Struthio camelus: one gene and its partner. Each later gene encodes a partner of the first gene's protein in a complex. Links are inferred from orthologs where the notes say so. Each region holds a gene or a part of one and is shown in the gene's direction. Other genes may lie near its edges. The genes, in order: CSF3R and CSF3.

Region 1 (9,471 bases):
CCACCGCGCCGGCCGCAGCGAGAGGAGCGGCCCGTCTCCGCCAGCTTCGCCGGGCTGCGGGGGCTCAGCACCCTCCTCGGAGAGGCACCCAGCACCTGCCCCGGATAACCCCCTGGATAACGGGGCGAAGCGCAGGCAGCGCTCAGCCCCGCTCGCTCCCGTCCCCCCTCCCCGCTCCCACCACGGACCCTCCTCTACCAGGATGATTAATGCCGCTGCCTCATTAATTGCAGTAACGTGTCGGGAGCCTTGTTCGAGGTCGGCTGCTCGGACCCCGTGCAATCCATTCACTCTCGATCCGCGCACGCAGCAAAGGCTGCCGGCGGCGGCGAGCGTCCCCGCGGCACCGGGAGCCGAGGGCGCCGGGCGCTGCCGGCTGCTCCCCTGGGACGGGAGCGAGGCGGGAGCCAGCAGCCCGGAGGCATCGTGGCCGTGTCCCGGCGCAGCCCCCCGCGGCCGCCGCGCAGCCTTCACCTCCCACCACATCGCCCAGGGGCGGAACAACGCGGTTTGTTGAATTAATCGTGTTGGACAGCAGGGAAACCTGGCACATTGGAGACTGCACCAGGTTTTGTGCTTAGATCTTGCATCCTACATGGCTGGCAGCATTTTTTTTTTTACGGAATAAAAAGAAGAAAAGGAAAAATCTCTTTAGGGATGCTGGTTCTTGCTGGCAGCTGAGCGGATGCAAGCCAGTAACATACTTTACTTTGCCTAATAGCAATGATCCACCCAGCAGGGATTAAATCAGAGGGGCTGATAACATGCCTGACAGCCGCCGGCATCTGGCTGCGGGAAGCACTCTCGCCTCCGTGCCCAGCTCGCCCGGCCCCCCGGCCCGGGGAGACCGTCCGGGAGGTGTCTGGGTGGCAGGAGCCCGCCAGCCGCACCGCCGGGCAGAGACCTCGCTTCGGCAGCTCGGTGGGAAAGCGGAGATGCTCCGCGCTGCCCCTGCGCCGGGAGCGAGGGATGGCGGTGGCGCCCGTGCCCGGGCGCGGGAAGCTGATGCTGCCTTGCCGGGAAGGGCTCGGGCCCTTCCCCTCTGTCAGCCCCAGGGCGACGTGCAGATGGCTGCAAGCAGCGGCCGGGGCGCGCTGGGCTGCCAGGTCAGCCTGGGCTTTGGCTCCCCATCCCACGCGCTGCAACTCTGGAAAAGCCCTTCGGAGCCCCGCTGCCACTTCCCCTTTCCGAGTTCCCACTCGCTGCGTCACCGGCCGGGCACGGAGGCGGCTCTTGCGCCACGGGCCGGGGGCTCGCGGCCCCGCGACGCGCCTTGCCCGGGCTGCGAGCGCCTGCCCTGCCTCCGAACCGGGGTGCCCCTGCCACCGCCTGCCCGGCACTGCCCCCTCCCGCAGGGACCCCGTGTCCCCTCCGGCTTCCTCCGCGCGCCCGTGCCCCCGCGGCATCCTCCCCACCTCGGCTCCCGCAGCCCCTGCGGGCCGGCCGGGACCCACGTGCTCGGGCTGCAGGACCCTGCCGGGAGCAGCCAGGGACCCTCCCAGCCCCGCCGAGGTGGGGAAGGGTCTGGGAGCCTGTGAGGGTGACTCAGAGCCAAAGGGGAACCGAGAGTGCGGTCATGGGGCAGCGACAGCTCCCTGCCCCGATCTGCGACCAGCCCCACGGCTCTGGGGAAGGGGATCGCTGCACCAGGACCGCGCAGGGAGAGCTGAGCGCCCAGCACTGCCGGAGTGGCAATGCCAGCGCCTCCTTGGGGGACAAACCCTTTCCCTGCGGAGTAGGGCCACATGAGCACGAGGGCAGGTGTGCACCAGGTGGGTGCCAGTCCCACAGTCCCACATGCGAACGCAGGGGCATCCCCTCATCCATGTGTACAGGGTGCGCAGCCCTAGCCGCACGTGCAGGGATGCACCGTCCCGTGAGCGCAGGGATGCACGGCCCATCCGCGCGCCCCGGGATGCACGGCCCATCCGCGCGCCCATGTGCCCCCCGCGCACATGCCGGGGCAATGCAGCCGCAGGGCAGCGCAGCCCCCAGGACCCAGCGGCTTCCTGGGCTCGGAGCAGCGCTGGCCCCAGCCGAGCCCTGGCCCCGCGCCCCCAGGCCAGGCTGCCGGGTGCAATGGGGCGCGGGGAGGGCAGCATTTGTTTTCTGTCCAGCTTCATGTTTACAGCTTTCTACTTCCCTCGCGGTTCCCACGGAGATGCCCATGTCACCATAGTTACCAGAACGAATATTCCTGCTCTGGGCCGTAAACAGCCTGCAAGAAGGCAGATTTCCGTGGTAAAGCGCTGGGGGTTGCTACACCCAAGGAAAATGTTGCAATGGCAACTTCTCCCTCCCCATCCTGCCCAGGGCAGCTGTGGGAAACAGCCCCCGGCTGGGAACGGTGTCACCGGGCACCGTCGGAGCCACTGCAGGGGCACCAGGAGGAGGAAAGAGAAAACTTGTCCCATCTTCTCCTGGGAGCTGCCGAAACACCTGCATCCCCCGTGCACGCGCTGCCCGTGCCGGCTCCCCCGTGAGCACCCCGGCTCCGGGGACCGCAGCCGGGGACAGGCCCTGCCCAGAGCCCGGGCACGGGCTGGCCACAGCGCCAGCGCTGAGGCTGGCGAGCAGCAAGGAAAAGCAAACGGCGGCTTGGCCCCGGGCAAGGCAGCGCTCACCGAGCGGCGGGCACGCCGGGGCAGCGCTGGGCTCCGGGGGAGCAGAGCTCCGCAGCCGGCTGTGCCAAAGCCCGGCGGAGCCCCGGCGCTGGCTGGCACAGGCTGATTTTCAGCACGCTGCATGGTTCAGCTGTGCTATCTTTTTTCCCCAAAATCTCTCCTGGGGGGTTGGAGGCCGGTGGGCGCTTGTGGGGCAGCTTGGCCACCTCGCAGCCGCCAGGGCTGGCCCGGCCAGGGCCTGGCGGGGAGGTGAGTGCTCAGCAGGGCAACACATCCCAGCCGCACCTCTGCCCGGAGCGGAAACACGGAGACCGTGCATGTGAAAAACAACCTTTGCGCAACGCTCCGGCTGGAGGAGGCAGCCTGCGGCGCGAGGGGACAGGCCTGGCGGGATGCGACGGGGGGACGGGCTCCCTGCAGCCCAGGAAAACGCAGCCTGTTGATGTTTCCAGGTGCAATTCTGCAGCGAGCACTGGGGGATGTTGCCTTGGGTGAGAAGGGTCCGTGGGCAGACGAGGCCCTCAGCATCCCCGGTCGCCCCGGCAGGGCGCCCCGCACCAGCACCCACGGTGCCCTGCCAGAGGGGCTCAGCCACGTCGCCGGACAGCAGACGGCAGCCGGCAGCCACTGGGCAGCGAAGCAGGTGGAGACGCTGCTTCGGGGAGCCCTGGGCTCACGCTGCAATAGGGCCTGGGGTTGCTCCGGGGGCACCGCTGGCCCGGCCGGGGCCGCGCTCCCGCAGCCGACCCTGCGACCGGCAGCAGCACAGCGGGGCTGGTGCCAGGCGGCTAATCAGCCTCCCTGGCCCCAGCCCGGCTCGCCCCGCCGCAGCTGCTAATAGGCAGGATGGATTCACTGCAGGTGGGAGAGTTGCTGCTGGGAGCAGCACAGCTGAGCTGATCGGGGAGGAAGGAGGACTGAGGAGGCCAGCGTTGGGCAGGATCCCTGGGGCTGGGGCTGGGGCTGGGGCTGGGGCAGGACTGGGAGCTGGGGCTGGGGCAGGACTGGGAGCTGGGGCAGGAGCAGGAGCAGAGCTGGGGCAGGAGCAGGAGCAGAGCTGGGGCAGGAGCAGGAGCAGGAGCAGAGCTGGGGCTGGGGCAGGAGCAGAGCTGGGGCAGGAGCAGGACTGGGAGCTGGGGCTGGGGCAGGAGCAGAGCTGGGGCAGCAGCAGCAGCAGCAGCATCAGAGCTGGGGCAGGGGCTGCTGGTCATGTGCTGGCACCGGAGGAGCTGCTCCCAGGCCTCATCCTGTGTTTGCAGGCACCCCAGCGCAGCAGCCCACAGCTGGCCACAATGTTCCCGCTGGCTTCCTGCTCCCTTAGCTCAACCTCTACAGTTTTGATGCAACGGCTGCGCGTTTCTCCAGCGCATCACCCCTGACGAGCAGCAGGAGCTGCTGCTGCCCCTGCACCCGCCGCTCCCCACGGGCTGCAGGCTGCACGGGGCCAGGCCTGCTGCGGGCAACCCGCCAGGGCCCGGGGGCAGAGTAGGGCTTTGGGGAAGGAGCTTTGCCCCACGGGGCAGTCGGGGTGTGTGGCGAGACGGCCGTGTGCCACCTGCAGCGAGCAGCCCTCCTCGGCGGGAGGCGATGCGGGAGCGCGGCTCCCTGCGCGGATGCCCTGCACCCGCGTGCCCGTCGGCCCCGGGGTAAGGCGCAGTGTGGAGCTGCGGGAGCGCTGGGTAGCGTGCCGCTAGACTCGACGCACGCATGCCGTAAATCCCATAGTAAACAGTTGTTTGCACAATAAATGCCTCCGTTGCGAAGGCTGCGAGTGCGTCGTAGCTTGGGCAATCCCCTGTTTACCCGGATGCTCCGGCTCCGTCCTGCTGGACCCGGGGTTTTTCCCACGTCCGCAGGACGCGGCGCGACCGGGCAGCCCTGCCTGGTCCCAGCCGCAGCGAGGAGCTGCCGTGGGGCAGCTGCTGGCCCCCCGGGCGAAGGAGCCGCTGGAAGCCCCCGGCCCCGAACCTGGGCCAAGGGCCGGGGCGGGGACATACCGGGGGCGAAGCTGGGTCTCCCTCTGCCCTTGCGGCACCTCGCTGGTCCCCCAGCTCTGGGACACGTCGTTGGGTCCTGCTGGGAGCCACCGGGCTGGGAGGCAGCTGCTGGGGCCGGGGGCCGGATCCTGCCTTCCACGGGCCCCGGCACAGGAGCCCCTCGAGGTCCCACGGTGCTTCCTGGCCCGTGGAGCTCGCGTGATGGGGATGGGGGCGATTTAGAGCAAATCGGGGACAGGACTGCTCTCGCCAGAGCCAGGCTCTGGGAGGGACGGTCCCTGCGTGGCTGCGAGCGGCCGGGAGGGCCGGTGCAGGGGGCCCGCAGCACACGGTGCGGATGCTCCCGGGAACCTGGGAGACGCATCCCAGGCGAGGACCCTGGAGCTCAGGAGGACGAGGATGCGGGGACGAGCCCAGACCCCCGCGGCGGGTGCCGAGCAGGAGCGCGGGAGCGGGTTGGGAGCTGGGAGCTGCAGTGCGCCAGCTGCGCTCAGCACCCGCCCGCGGCCGCCTCCTGCCCCTCCGCGCGCCGCGTCCCCCGGCCCGGCCCCGGCAGGCTGCAGCAAGGAGGCGGCCGCTGCCCCGGCCCCGCTGCCGAGGGCCGGCGGGGCGGGCGGCAGGTCCCGCTCCGGGCGCTGGACGTGTGCCCTGGGCTCCCCTTCCTGCCAGCGAGCACGGCAGGCACAGCCTTCAGGGAAGTGTTTTGCAATCACCTTCTCCAGAGTCACAGCAATTAACGGCACTGGTTTTGAGGAACTAACGGTGAGAGCAGCGTGCTAGCAAACGGGCTGAGCGCGGCGATGCGCCGGGAGCCGGAGACCAGCGCTGGGAGCGGGCGGTGAGCGGCGGCCGGAGGCGGCGGGCGCAGAGGCGAGGTAGGGACGGGGCGCCGGGGTCCGGTGAGCGCGGGCCGCCCGGCGTGCCCCGGCGGCGCGGACCCAGCGCGTTACCCGCGGCTGCGCCGACGGCCGTGCCTGGCCCGGCGGTGGGGACGGCCGCGTGCCGGAGCAGGGGTGCGCCGCCGGCGGCTGCTTTCCCATCAGCCGTGCCGGGCTTGCCTGCCCCTGCATGCCGGCTCCGGGGCAAGGAGCGTGCCAGAGGCGGGTGCCGGCGCGGGCAGCCCCTCGGGGGGGCACGTGTCCCCCACCGAGGAGGAGGCAGCCGCGAACGCCCCGGGGAAAGGGGTGCCGCACAGCCGGGCAGGGGCCGGAGAGGCGGCTCGGTGGCTCCGGCTGCCCCGGGCGCAGCGCAGGGAGGTTTGGATCCATTCCCGGCAGCGGCCGGGGGATGCAGGTGGAGGGGGGAAGCGCAGGAGAGAGGGTGCGGGCAGGACCCCGAGGCCCTGCAGACCCTGCTGCATCGCCTTCGTTCATTCCTTTCCTCCTTTCTGCTTATCAGACCGCTCTGCCACCCAAAACCTCAGCTCTCACCCTTGCTTAAACCACAAATCTGTCCCCGGCAGAGACAGAAGGTACCTGAGATAAAAGCAGCTCGTGCCCGGAGCGCAGCTCCAGGTTCGTGCTGCGGAAACGGGGAGAGCAGGGCGGAGAGCCGGTGGCCGGGCAGAGCCGCGCGCCCCGCGCCCCTTCCCGTCGTCGGTGCCCCGCGGGCGGCTCGGATGTGTCAGCGCTGCGGAAGGGCCGCCGGAGGGAGGCTGCGCCCAGAGGACGTTGGGCTCCAGCAAGCACCCGCGGTTGTCGCAGCAAGGGGGATCTAATCCGGCCGCTTCCCGGCCCCCTCCCCGACCTGCCGAGAGGAGCCCGTGTCTGAACTCCAGGTGATGCCAAAGCCAAGGAGCGGATCATGGCCAGGCACGGCGCCGGGACAACCTTGCTGCAGCGGCTCTCCCTGCTCCTCCTGCTCTCCCTGGGCGGTGAGTGGGTGCCCAGCCCCGCGCTCGCCCCTCTGCCCTGCCTGGGTGCCACGGGGCCGGCCGGCTCGGCCGCGGCCGTGCCCTGGGCGTGACGCCCTTTTCCCGCCCGCAGGGACCCAGGGCTGCGCCTCGGTGGCCGTGGGCTCCCCCGTCGTCCCCCTGGGATCGGCCGTCACGGCGTCCTGCACCGTCCAGAGCGAGCTCTGCCGCGGGCTGGAGCGCGGGAAGATCCGCATCGCCTGGATGCTGGACGGCGAGCCCCTGGCCGGCAGGCAGCGCCGCGGCCCGGGGGGGACGGAGGTGTCCGACCTCACCGTGGCCAACTTCAGCCGCAGCCAGGCCAGGCTGTGGTGCCTCGTGGAGTGGAACGGCACCCGGCAGCGGGTCGGCGTGGCGGAGATCCAGGCGGGCTGTGAGTCTGCCCCGCGGGGCGCGCGGCCAGGCCTGGCGTGGCTGGGGCTGGGCAGCCGGGGGGGCCGCCGACCCGGGCCTCCGCGGAGCTGCCCTGGGTGCTCCCCAGCACGCCGAGGCGCAGGGTTTGGGGCAGGTTTGCTCAGGCTCCTCCTGGCTGCTTTCTCCCTAGACCCGCCTGCGAAGCCCTTCAACCTCACCTGCATGCTGAACCTCAGCGACTACGGGCTGACGTGCCGGTGGGAGCGGGGAGCCGACAGCCTCCCCACCGCCGTCGCCCTCAAGTGCGCCACGTAAGCGGGCCGCGCGGCGCCCCTGCTCTCCGGCCCCCGGCCCCTATCCCCGCTTATCCGAGCCCTCCCGTCTCCGTCGGCAGGAGCAGAGCGCAGCGGGAGGCCGCCGGCGAGGCGGTGACGGGCTGCACCCCGCGGGGCGGCTGCCACTGCTGCACCGTGCCCCGCAGGCTGCTCCAGCTCTACCGGAAAATGGACATCTGGGTGTCCGCCCGCAACGCCCTGGGCACGGCCGAGTCGGAGCGCCTCCGCATCGACCCCATGGACGTCGGTGAGTGACGGCGGGAGCCTCCTGCCCCGAGCGGCCGTCGCGGGCCACGGAAACTAATTATCGGTGCGGGAGGGATTTTAGAGTGCCGTGACAGCACGTCAGGCTTTTAGGTTCCCATGATAAACGGCTTGCGAAGATGAATAGGTGCCAGAGCCGTATTACAGACCTGAGCAGCGTGTGCCGGCTGGGTATGAGCCGTCGGTTGACCTGCTGCACTCTACAACTCTCTCCAGCAATTGATTACCCGTTTCTTCAGGAGGTCTATTAATAATACATACAACTCCCATAAACTATTTATAAAAAGAAACCTCCTCAGACGATGAGACTGGTCGTCCCTGGTCTGCACCCAGGGAAGAGCCGCCCGCGAAGCCCGCTGTGGCCGCGCGGGGCGTCTGCACCTCACTGCACGCTGGCTCCGGGCCCTTTCCACAAGCCGTTCTCCAAAATGTTTTGGGGCTGTTTCTGTCTAATCCCACTTGCCAGGAGGTCAGAGCAGGCCAGAGCCAGGGCTGCGGTTCGCGGCGTTAATAACAACGGTGCCTTCGGCCACGCGCGAGGCTGCAGCCCTGGCAGAGCCGGGGTGCAGAGCCCCGCCGGCCCGCACGGGCACCGTCCGCCCGCAGCATCTCCAGCTCTGCCCGGCTTTCCCTCCAGCCAAGCTGGACCCTCCCGTGCTGCAGAGCATCCAGTCCATCCCCCACCAGACGGACTGCGTCTCGGTGTCCTGGGAGGCCGCCCGGACCAGCGCGCACATGGAGCTGCAGTGTGAGCTGCGCTACAGGAGCCCAGAGGACCCGGCCTGGGCGCTGGTGAGCGATGCTCAGCGCCGGGGCTGGAGAGGGGCCGGCGAGGGGCTGCAGGCGAGCAGGAACCAGCACTCCCCACATCTGCTCCTCGCTCTGCCAGATTTTGCACCCTGCTTTGTGCACCTGGGCACCTCTGGGTACCGATCAGCGCCTGCGCTTTCCTCCCAGCCTTGCTCACTACGGGAGGGATATGGCAGCAGTGTTTTTCCCACGGTGCTGTCATGCAAGCTCCTGCTTTCTGCCGGTCCTTACTTGGGCTGCGTGCCGAGGCCACCACATCTCACCACACCTGTGTGATCCCCCTTCACCGAGCTCCTCCGTGCCCCGGAGGAGGCCTCACGGCTGAGGCCAGCCCGGCACTGGGTTCCCTGCTGCGTGCTCCTGCCGGCGACCGTGGCCCGGGCTGCCGCAGAGCCGCCCCACGGACCTGCCTCGCAGGCACACGCCGGCTCCCGCAAAACCCTCCGTCCTTGGCGAGGGTGCATGTCCTCATCCTTCCCTGCCCCGGGCGGGTGGCAGAGACCCCAAGCGCCTGCCGCAGACCCACCGCGCGCTCCAGGGCTGCCCCTGGCCCCGGCTCCGGGGCAGGACGGGGAGGAGCCGCCCCGTCGGGGAGCTAACGCAGCCCCTGCTCCGGCTGCCCGCAGGTCCCCGGCATCGGCAGCCAGGCCCGGCCGACGCAGCACTGCGGCTTCCTCTTCGGGACGCAGTACCACTTCGAGATGCGCTGCCGGCGGCCCTCGCCCGGGGGCTACTGGAGCGAGTGGAGCCCGGGCAGGAACTTCACCACCCACGAGAAAGGTGGGTGCGGGCACGCGGGGCACGGCGGCAGCGGGGAGCCCCCGCGGGCGCCCCGAGCTGCAGCAGCACGGCTCGTGCGTGGCACACGGCTGCGCGGAGGGCGCTGGCCGCGGACACCAGCCCCTTGCAGCATCTCCTCCGCCTTTCCCCCGCGACAGCCCCTACAGCGAGACTGGACGCGTGGTGGAGCACGCAGCCCGCGGATGCTGGCCGGAGGGTCGAGGTGCAGCTGTGGTGGAAGGTACCCGCGGGGGGTGGCAAGCGCGCGGGGGCTCCCGCAGCAGAGCCGCCCCAGCGCCCTGTCCGGCCTGTCTGCGCCCGCAGGCTCCGCCGCGGCGGGAGGCCAACGGGAGGCTGCTGGGCTACCGCGTGGCGCTGAGCCCCCGGCGGAGGGG
Region 2 (10,023 bases), on another chromosome or scaffold:
TCTGCGAGTCTGGGTGAGCCGGGCTATTTCTTTCCTCCCCTCCTTGACGCGCACTTTCCCTTCGCTGAAGCTTCCTGCATGCCCGGCTGCGGACAGCCACGCTGCGCCACGATGCAGACGGGCAGGCCACCCTCCTGAACCTGCTGCTGAGGAACTACCTTCACTACAACCTCTACGACCAAGCAGAAAAGCTCGTCTCCAAGTCCGTGTTTCCTGAGCAGGCCAACAACAACGAGTGGGCACGGTACCTCTATTACACAGGTGAGATACAGAGGGTCCTGCATGCCACTGGCAGATCAGGATGCATGTGAGATTTGGGTCTCTGGTCCTCCAGAAAATCTGTTTGAGCAGTCGGCATTGGGGCTTCAACTCTGAATTTAAAGCCCCAGCCAGGTGGGTCCAGTTGGATTCACTCGGTGGCTTTTCCAAACGCTTCCTGCCTCGTGTGAACCCTCTCCCTCTCCCAGGGCGCATCAAGGCCATTCAGCTGGAGTATTCAGAGGCGCGGAGGACCATGACGAATGCCCTGCGGAAGGCACCACAGCACACAGCTGTTGGCTTCAAACAGACGGTGAGCAAGCATGGGAAGCGCACAAGCGCTCGGGGGTGTTGGTTCCTTGTTGGTTGTGGATCGCAGTTGGGGCAGGGTAGGTCTCACCACCTTGCTGGCTTCCCTCCATTCTGCTCCTGTGGGGAAGCTGTCCGCAGGGTTTAGCCTTAGCCTGGGCTCTCTGGGGACTCATAGTCTCTTTTTGCTTAAGGTGCACAAGCTGCTCATCGTGGTGGAACTGCTGCTAGGGGAGATCCCGGACAGGCTCCAGTTCAGGCAGCCCTCTCTCAAGCGGTCACTCATGCCCTACTTCCTCCTGACTCAGGGTACGACGGGCCGTTCCTGCCCATGCTCGGCTCCTCTTGGGAGCCGTGGCACTGTGATGTCTTGGCACCATGTTTTGTGCTTCAAGGGAGCGGGAAGCCTTGGGGGGGTGGTGAGCAATGGGGGTTTCTCTCCTCTTGCCTCAAAGGGACCCAGCTGCCAGACTCCTCTTGGTGCCAGTCTGAAGTGCGAGTCCACAGTCCCTGAAAGGCTGTTGAGCAGCTGGGCGCAGGACACCTGGGTTCTCCTCTCAGCTCATAAGAGGAATGGATGGCAGGCCTGGGAGTCAGGCCCCCGCCTCACATTCCCTGCTAGCACCTCGGCCTTAGATCCTTCCCCGATTTACACGTTCTCTCCCCCTTCATCTGCCTGCTCCAGCCGTCAGGACTGGGAACCTGGCCAAGTTCAACCAGGTCCTCGATCAGTTTGGGGACAAGTTCCAGGCCGACGGGACCTACACCCTGATCATTCGCTTGAGGCACAACGTCATCAAGACAGGTAGGAGGTTGCCGCTCTGGTATTTGGGGGCTGTGTCACAGCTGGTGCTGCAGGCTTGGCGGGCAGCTGAGTGTCACCTTGTGCACCTGGGACTGTGGCTGCCTGGCAAAAGCGGGCTCAGTTCTCTTTCTTCTTGTCTCAGGTGTCCGTATGATCAGCCTCTCCTATTCTCGCATTTCCCTGGCTGATATCGCCCAGAAGCTACAGCTGGACAGTCCGGAGGATGCAGAGTTCATCGTTGCCAAGGTAGCTGCATATGAAATCTCACACGACTGTATGACTTCTGGGTCCCAGGACCTGTCTGCAGCTCCTGGTTCTTGCAGCTGGCCTTGCACTGCTGCCAGGCTGCTTCCGCCCATCTCTGCAACACTCCCTTCCTGGGGACACTTAGGTCACCATGTCCCGTCTCTGTGCGCTGTGTCCCGAGTCCAGCGCTCCTGTTGCAGCAGCCAACTCCCTTCGCGCTAAACTGCTGCCTCAGCCCTCAGAGACAGCGGGTGCCCTGACCACGTGCCCTCCGGCTTGCAGGCCATCCGGGATGGCGTGATCGAGGCCAGCATTAACCATGAGAAGGGTTATGTCCAGTCAAAAGAAATGATCGACATCTACTCAACCCGGGAGCCCCAGCTGGCATTTCACCAGCGCATCTCTTTCTGCCTCGACATCCACAACATGTCTGTCAAGGTGAGCGCAGCAGCACAGGCACCTCACGCTGGTCTCCAGCTGATTCTCTGGCAGGGCCTTTGCCACTGGGATTGCCCTATCAGGTGAATGGGCCACACTGGGAGGCTTCAGGCACGTCCACAGGGAATCACAGGGCTTCTCTGCAGAGCTGGAGGGAAGAGGGCTCCATCAGCCTCCCAGAACTGGCCCAGGCATCTTATTGCCTTCCCAGGTTCAGCCCCGATGGGAAAAGGAGGTCCAGCTAAGGCTGGGACAGAGCTGGCTTGAACGCAGTGGCTTTCTGCCTGGCAGAAGGGGACAACAGGGCAGAGTCGAGGCCTCTTTCTGCTCACAGCTTCTTGTCTCCCTTGTTTTTCCAGGCCATGAGGTTCCCGCCCAAATCTTACAACAAGGACTTGGAATCTGCAGAGGTGAGACCTCATCCGTGCCTCTGCTGCCCTCTGGCTCAGCTGGCTGTGTACTGGCAGAAGGCTTGCTCATGCTGCAGCCCAGCAGTCACCAAGGCCATTGGAAGGACCCGGATCCTCTCCCTCATGGCCGCTAACTTCTGCCTTCACTTTCCAGGAGCGCCGGGAGCGTGAGCAGCAGGACCTGGAGTTTGCAAAGGAGATGGCAGAAGACGATGATGACGGTTTCCCGTGACCCTCTGGCTTGGCCGTACTTTTTTTATTTGTCCCTAGGGAAGATGCTGTCTGAGCAGAGCTGCCTCACGCGGCCCCGGTCCCCGATCTGCCTTTCTTTTATAAATACCTGCATGTCTGTACCGGGGGAGGGGGACACGTGGGTTCCCTGGGCCCACAGCCACAGGCCCTGCTCTCTCGTTGCCCTCACCACCCACGGAGGGAACCCCCTTCCCCAGTAAACAAACGTTCTTTTAAGGTTGCTTGTGGTCGAAGTCGTTGCAGAGCCCCACGCGGAGGCACGCAAGGGCCCATGAATTGGGAGCTCCACGGGAAGCGGGGCTGGGGTGGGCGGGGGTCGGTAGAAGGGCTCCACGGGGACTGCAGTTGCCCCCGGCTCTCACAACAATAATGGGGTCAGGCTTTGTTAAGCTTCAATTATGACTTTTAAAATAAAAGTTGGAAAAACACCAGCCTGCTCTGTTCTGGCTGTGAGTTTGTTCTCAAGTCTGTGAGCAAGCATGGGGCTGGCCAGGGCCATCAGAGGCCTGGAAAAGCAGCTGTGGGCTGCTCTGGATGGCCGTGGGGGTACCTGGAGTGCTGCTGGTGCCCAGATACTCCTGCTCCAGCCCAGAGCTGGGACTGGCTCCAGCCCACACAAACCTCCAGGCCTGAAGCTGACAGGTGGAGCTGTGTGGTCAAGGCACCGCCAGTCCCAGCAGGATCCGATCCCTGGAGCTGGGCTGTGGACGCATCCTGGCTGCGCTGAGGCCCCAGGAGGTGGGGACAGGGGCCCCAGGGTGCACGGCCCAGCAGCATTGGCCCGACGTGGTGCACAGCTGGGGGCTGAGCTGAGTGTGGGTGCCTGTGGCACGCTGCCAGCAGTGGGGCTGGTGCTGGGAGTGCCTCAGCCGTGCTGACAGACACCAGCCGCCAGGATCCTGTTTCCCCAAAAGCTGCTTTGTTCTGGAGCTGCAAACGAAGGCCAGGGCAGGGATTACCAGGATTAGCAGCCTGCCCGGCAGCCTGTGTACACAGCAAGCACACAGCAGCGCTGCCTGGGCGGGAAGGGGCTGAGCCCCACATCCCCCTCCTGCCTGCCGGGAAAGACACCAGGTCTGCTCCAAGCAGGACCCTCTTGGTGCCCCGCAGCCCTCCCAGCCCCATAGGTGCTGGCCCAGGGAGCAAGGGACCCCCCAGGATCTGCCCCATCCCTCCAAGGGGTTTGCGCCCGGGTGCCAGACCCAGCCCTGCCGCGCTTGGAGTCTCTGCGCCCCTCGGGGGAGCGATGGGGACTGGGGGACATGCAGCGGCCCAGCGGGGTCCTGCTGGCAGCTGGGCTCATCCTCTGGGGAAATCTGGGAATCTCCCGGCACTCCCAAGCTGGGCTGGTGGCCAAGGGCCACGGGGGTCAGAAACGGGGCAGCCCCAGGGCAACGGATACGGCTTGTCCGTCCCCTGGGAACATCAGTGGAGCCACAGGTCAGACCCTGCCAGCTGGGATGGAGCAGGGAAGGGGACAGCCCCGGCTCGATGTAGCTGCTGCATCCGGCACTCGGGACACCTCGGAAACGCTCGCTTCCTTGCAGCTGGCGGAGGGGCCGGAGGGTCCCCGGGCGAGGCCGCGGAGGGGAAGGGCAGCCACGAGGCAGAACCGCAGCGGGGCGGGCGCCCGGGGCAGTCCCCGCAGCCGGGCCGGGGCAGCTCCGGCCCCGGGCGAATTGTGCTGGCCCAGCGCTCCCGCCCGCGCCTCGCCACCCACAGGTTTCGAGTTCGGACACCACTTCCTTCCTCAGAAAGCCAACCCGGGCTTTCGGCCCCACTTGGCTCTGATTCACGCCCCCCCCCCCAAACCGCAACAGCCCCGATTCCTGAAAGCACCAACCTGCTGAGATGGCAGCTCCGCTCAGCTCTGGGGAAAAGGGTGATGCCAGGGGCGTGCCAGCAGGTCACACTCTCCCCTTTCCATGGGGGCCCTAATCTGGATGGGCCCCGGCTGCCCCTGGCTCCGGGGAGGGAAAAGGCAGAGCCAGGAGGGGCAAATTTCTCCCAGGAAAATCCCACAAACAGGCTCCACTGCTGAGGTGCTTTCACACAGCCTGAGGGCAGCACACATGGTACTTCCAGGCCCTGGGAGGGGAAAGTTATCATTAGGTTTAAGAGTTAACACCTGCCTCATGCCGGGCAAGGCTCTGGGTGGTGTTCACAGCTGGGCTGTGCCTTTCCAGGTGTTTCCTTTCACCTAGCCGGAGGCTGGAGCGGCTCCAAGGGCTTGGGGCTCTGTGGTGGCGGGCAGCGCGGCTCACGAGTCGGCCCAGCCCGGTGCGGGCAGCGAGGGTCCCGGCGCCTGAGGCCGGGGGTTCCCGTCCCCTGCAGCCTGGGGGAGGGAAGGGACGGGACTGGGGCCCTGTGGCAGGGCGGTGGCGCAGGAGCGATGCCCCCCCCCCCGCAATCCTGGGTGCCAGGATCCCACCAGCCCCTTTCCCGGGTGCTGCCCCGCGTCCCAGCCGGCCCGTGCTGGGCAGGAGCCGACCCAGCTGGCACCGAGACAGCAAATAACCCGGGAAGCACTTGTGGGACCCGGCCGGAGCCAAAATCCCACGTCAGAGCAGCGGGGCAGCCGGAGGGCAGGGAGCAGCCGGGCTCGCTCCGGGGCCACGGCCGCCCGGGGCTTCTCTGGCAGCCACGTCCGCGAAGGGCCGGCTCCTGCCGGGGCTGGGCTGTGGGGTCTCGCCCGCCCTGACGCCGGGGCGAGGGGCTCGGGCGCCCGGCGGAGCCGGAGCCGGAGGGGCGGCCGCTCGGGCAGGGGCTGCACGAGGCGGGTGACGAGGCTGCGCCAAGCCGCCGGCTCCGCTCCGAGCCGCCCTGGGCCGCGGTCCAGCGGCACCGGGCACCTGAGACGGCGGGAGCCCCGTGGGCGAGTTAATCAGTCACCAACACGCGGCCCAGAGCCGCCGGCCCCAGGCGCCTGGGCTGGCCGGTGGGTGCCTGCGGCACGGAGCGGCACCAGGCTGGCGGGGGGCCAGGAAAGCCCCCGAGCCGCGGCGCGGGCCGGCCGGCCGGGAGCGCCCAGCTCCCAGGATTTGCATATCGGTGATTAAGACAATGAGGCAATCAGCACTGTTGCCACATCAGTGTGAATCCCCGGAGCCGTCTATAAAATGCCCTAATCGATGAGGCCGCGCAGAGCCAGGGCAGGAGCGAGCTGTGCCGGCCCGGGCAGCACTTGCAGAGAGGAGGAGACGCCGAGATGCCCACCGCCATGTGCTCCCTCACCCGTGAGTACCCCCAGCACCCAGTGCACCCTGCGCCCGGTGCACCCCAGCACCGATAGCACCCTGCACCCAGCACGCCCCGAGCACCTGTAGCACCCCAGCACCCCGCATCCAGCACCCCGAGCACCTGCATCACCCAGCACCCCAACACCCAGGACGCTCCAGCACCCAGAGCACCCCTACCGCCCTAGGGCCCCGCACACGCTGGCACCGGCGGGCTGGCGGGGCGCGGGGAGGGCGCAGCCGCCCGCCCTCCTTTCCGGGGCATCTTTGCGCCTTGCCTGCGGCGCTGGGGGCCAAACGCGCGGCGCCCGGGCGGGCGCTGAGCCAGCCGCTCTCCCGCAGGCGTGCTGGCGGCGGTGCTGGGCGCGGCGCTGTGGCGGGCGCTGCACGGGGCGCCGCTGCCCGAGTTCTCGGGCGACCAGGACTTCCAGCTCTTCCTGCGCAAAAACCTCGAGTTCACCCGCAAGATCAAGGGGGACGTGGCCGCGCTGCAGCGCGCCGTGGTGAGTGCCGGCACCGCGGGGGCCGCGCAGCGCCGGGGACCCGCGCCGCCGGGTCACGGATAAGGTGACCTTCCCCTGCCCGCGCTCGTCCGGCCAGGGGAGGGCTGCGGAGCGGGGGTCCCGCGCCGCTCCGGCCGCCCTGACGCCCTCCCCTCCTCGGCCGCAGTGCGACACCTTCCAGCTGTGCGAGGAGGAAGAGCTGCTGCTGGTGCGGCAGGACCTGGACATCACCCACGCCCCTCTGGAGAAGTGCCACAGCCGGACCTTCCAGGCGGTGAGTGCGCCGCGGGGGACCACCCATGTCACGAGCTGGCCGGTCTCAGCCCGGCCGGTTCCCCGCTGCTCGGCCGGCTTTGCCACCGCTTCTGGCTGCCCCAAGCCGAAAGTGGTCCCTCGCTGGCGCCGCGGTGGCCCCGGTCCCAGCCGGGCCCCGCTGACCCCAGCCGTATCCCCGCAGGAAGACTGCTTCGGCCAGATCCGCGAGGGGCTCCAGGCCTACCACGGCTCCCTGGCCTCCGTCCGCGAGCTGCTGCCCGCCCACGCCGGCCTCGTGGAGACGCTGCAGCTCGACGCCGCCAACCTCTCCTCCAACATCCAGCAGCAGGTGAGGAGCAGCCGGGGACGGCGGGGATGCGGTGGGGCTCAGCGCCCTGGGGAGGACGAGGGGCTCTGCACCCTGGGTGGCACCCCGGGGAGGACGTGGGGCTCTGCACCCCACATGGCACCCTAGGGAGGACGTGGGGCTCTGCACCCCGGGTGGCACCCCCGGGGAGGACATGGGGCTCGGCACCCCGGGTGGCACCGCGTCCCCGGGCAGAGGCAGGGGGTGCCAGGGCTCACGCCAGCTCTCCGGACGCCTCCGGTCCGAGGACCCCTCTGACGCGTCCCCCTGCCCCGCTCTAGATGGAGGACCTGGGCCTGGCCACGGTGACGTACCCCGCCGAGGAGCGGGGCGCCCTCCCCGCCTTCTCCTCCCCCTTCCACCACCAGGTCGGCGGCTTCTTCATCCTGGCCAACTTCCAGCGGTTCCTGGAGACGGCGTACCGGGCGCTGCGGCACCTGGCCCGGCTCTGACGCCCGGCGGCGCGGAGCCAGGCCGGGCCGCGGGCTCCCTGCCGCTCGCCGGGGCCACCCCGCGCCGCCCCGCGCCCCCCTCCCCGGGACAGCCCGGCTTTTCCGCTTATTTAATATTTATCGCTATTTAACATGGAGGAGCTGGCCCAGGTCTGCCCCGGGGTGCCGTCCGCGCACGGGTAGCTGTGCGCAGCATCAGCCTTGTTTAATATTTAAACAAAAGCGTATCTCTGCTACGAGGATCGGGAGCTGGGCCCAGGCCCGGCGGCTGCGCGTGCCTCGGTTTCCCCATCGCCTGGCCGGGTGCTGCCTGCCTCAGCATCCCCGCGCCGAGGGGGAAACCGTCTCCGTCCGGGGATGAAGAGGCTTCAGAGCAGCATCTCCCTGCCCGGTTTACAGCCCTGCAGGGACGATTTTGACGGGTGTTATTTGTATTATGCATATTTACATTAATTAATATTTATTAGCCATTAGGTATAGAGCAGGCGGGAGGGGAGGCTGGAGGAGCCCCCAGGCTCTCGACCCGCAGTCGGTGCAAGATGCCGAAGCAGCAGCCTCCGGGGAGCCGCGCTGCCCCCCTGGAGCTAAACGCTCTCTATTTATCCCAGTTTAACTTATTCGCACCCATTTCCAGGGCCGGGAGAGCGGCGCCCCGCTCACGGCCCGGCCCTGGCGAGCGGGGCCGCGGCGCGGTCCGGGCCCCCGAGCCCGGCGTCCGCCCGGCCCCGGCTCGGCTCCGCACTCCCGGGCCCGCGCGGCCGCCGGCGCCCTGGCAGGGGCTCCGTCCCGCTGTATTTTGTACTGGTATTTATTACTGCAGCTGGGTTAGCCCCAGAGAAATACATGGTATTTTTTATACACTATAAAAAACGGAAATAAACTCTATTTTTGCTCTGAAACGTGGGCTGTTTGCATTCCCCGCCGTCCCCCGCCTGCACTGTGGGTGAAGGGGCCGCGACGGCCGGGCCGGGCCGAGCTCGGCGGCTCCCGCGGCTGGGGCAGAGCCCCTCCGGGGCCGGGGCGCGCGGGGGCCCCGGATGCGGCCAGGGCCGGCCCGGCTCCCCGCGGCGCGGGGGCGGCAGCTTCCTCCCGCGCGGCTTGGGCAAGCACCGATTCCTAGAAAGCGCCGGCGGCAGCTCTGCGCCCGGGGGCCATGCAGCTCTGCCAGCGCAGCCGGGGTGCCCCGACACAGCAGCCCGTGAGCCCCCTGCTCTTTGCCCCGGCAGCACAGAGCCTTCCCGCGCCCAGGAAGGGAAGCACAGGCGTGATGAGCACTCAGGGCTCTGCGCAGGGCCGGCGGTGATGCTCGGGCCGGTCCCGGCTCCCGGCCTCGTCCGCTTCCCAACCCGCGATGCGCTGCTGGACAGTGACGCACCAGCACCGCCGGCCCCCGGCAATTCCTCTTTCGCTCCTGCCACAAGGGGATTTTGCTCTAGAGCCGCCCAGGACCGATGATGCCTCGGCCGCGCTCCCGGGGGCCTCCCAGAGCCTGGCGGCAGCGGGAAAACCGAGACGGACACACGGACGCGCCTGGGCACAGGCAGCAGAGCCGGGAGCCCGAGCCCTGGCCCCGGAGCAGCCCCTGGATCGTGGCAGAGCCCCAGCAGCCGCCGTGCCAGTCCCAGGCGAGCCCACGCGGGCAGCCCACGGCCTCTTCCCTATTCCTGCACCGGGCGTTTGGCCACCACGGCCTGTCCCCACGCTCCCGGGGTTGCAGCAGCCTGTGCTTCCTCCTGCCGGTCCCGTGCTCGCGTCCTGTGACCGCGCCGGCAGCCCCGGCCCCGCGGGGGCAGCTGCAGCCGGGCCCCTGCTCCCGCGTCCCCCCAGCCCACGGTCCCCCTGCCCCTCACCACCGTGGGGATGCCGCTGCCTGTGTTTATTTTGATGTGCGCCCTCCCTGCGCTGCCTTTCTGAAGAACAAACAGCGGGAGGCATCGCGCCTTCCTGCCCGGGCTTATCAGCGCTTACAGGAAACCCCTGCGCCAGCTCCAGCCCCTTCCAGGAAGGTGAAGCCCTGGGAGCTGGGGAAGGGCCAATGCCGAGCTCGGGGCAGCCGCACGGCCCCCACCGAGCAGGCAAATATTGACAGAGGCTGCGGGCACCCAGCTCTGCTCTTTGCTCCGAGCTAACGGTAAAGAGCTGCCCTTGCACGCAGGGGCCACGGGCTCAGGCCAGCCCCGCGTCACCATCGGCCGCCTTTCCCCCCACCGCCGCTCCGGCACTGCGGCACCGCTCTGCACCTCGGCCGGACACGGGGGAGAGAGCACCTGGGCCCCGCGCGCCCGCCCCGGGCTAGGAGACGCAGCCAGGACCCGGCTCCCACCCAAGAAGGGCAAGGCAGGTAGGGGGAAATGGTGCTGGGGCCCCGTTTCTCATGAGTCAAACGGAAATCGTTAATGAAAGGAGCAGAGGGGAAGCCGCCCCCACGGTGTCACCCCCTCAGGGAAGGGGTTTTGTGACAATTACAGGCGGATTCACCACCGAAGCAGCTG

Evidence for each region.
Region 2: the proteins of CSF3R (region 1) and CSF3 are in contact, whole or in part, in a crystal structure (PDB 2D9Q), measured with the Homo sapiens proteins. The link is inferred for Struthio camelus from reciprocal best matches to the Homo sapiens genes CSF3R and CSF3. Residues at the interface, in NP_000751.1 of Homo sapiens: Arg164, Arg190, Lys191, Leu193, Leu194, Leu195, Tyr196, Gln197, Asp220, Met222, His261, Ile262, Asn263, Arg311, Pro313, Leu314; in NP_000750.1 of Homo sapiens: Ser42, Leu45, Lys46, Glu49, Gln50, Arg52, Lys53, Leu141, Asp142, Asp145, Thr148, Thr149, Gln152.

The regions. Positions count from the first base shown.
Region 1 is NC_090964.1:10,342,033-10,351,503, reverse strand, and holds the start of CSF3R (granulocyte colony-stimulating factor receptor), read left to right. Parts: upstream 1-5,275; 5' UTR 5,276-5,496; intron 5,497-6,019; 5' UTR 6,020-6,424; coding exon 6,425-6,494; intron 6,495-6,606; coding exon 6,607-6,906; intron 6,907-7,077; coding exon 7,078-7,198; intron 7,199-7,281; coding exon 7,282-7,469; intron 7,470-8,123; coding exon 8,124-8,278; intron 8,279-8,922; coding exon 8,923-9,076; intron 9,077-9,234; coding exon 9,235-9,317; intron 9,318-9,400; coding exon 9,401-9,471. UniProt on the Homo sapiens protein: Receptor for granulocyte colony-stimulating factor (CSF3), essential for granulocytic maturation. Plays a crucial role in the proliferation, differentiation and survival of cells along the neutrophilic lineage.
Region 2 is NC_090966.1:6,760,393-6,770,415, forward strand, and holds CSF3 (granulocyte colony-stimulating factor), read left to right. Parts: upstream 1-5,800; 5' UTR 5,801-5,926; coding exon 5,927-5,954; intron 5,955-6,296; coding exon 6,297-6,457; intron 6,458-6,623; coding exon 6,624-6,731; intron 6,732-6,914; coding exon 6,915-7,061; intron 7,062-7,360; coding exon 7,361-7,531; 3' UTR 7,532-8,430; downstream 8,431-10,023. Other genes in the region: PSMD3 (26S proteasome non-ATPase regulatory subunit 3), read left to right, coding at 71-261, 468-571, 762-876, 1,253-1,372, 1,515-1,618, 1,901-2,056, 2,416-2,466, 2,621-2,698. UniProt on the Homo sapiens protein: Granulocyte/macrophage colony-stimulating factors are cytokines that act in hematopoiesis by controlling the production, differentiation, and function of 2 related white cell populations of the blood, the granulocytes and the monocytes-macrophages.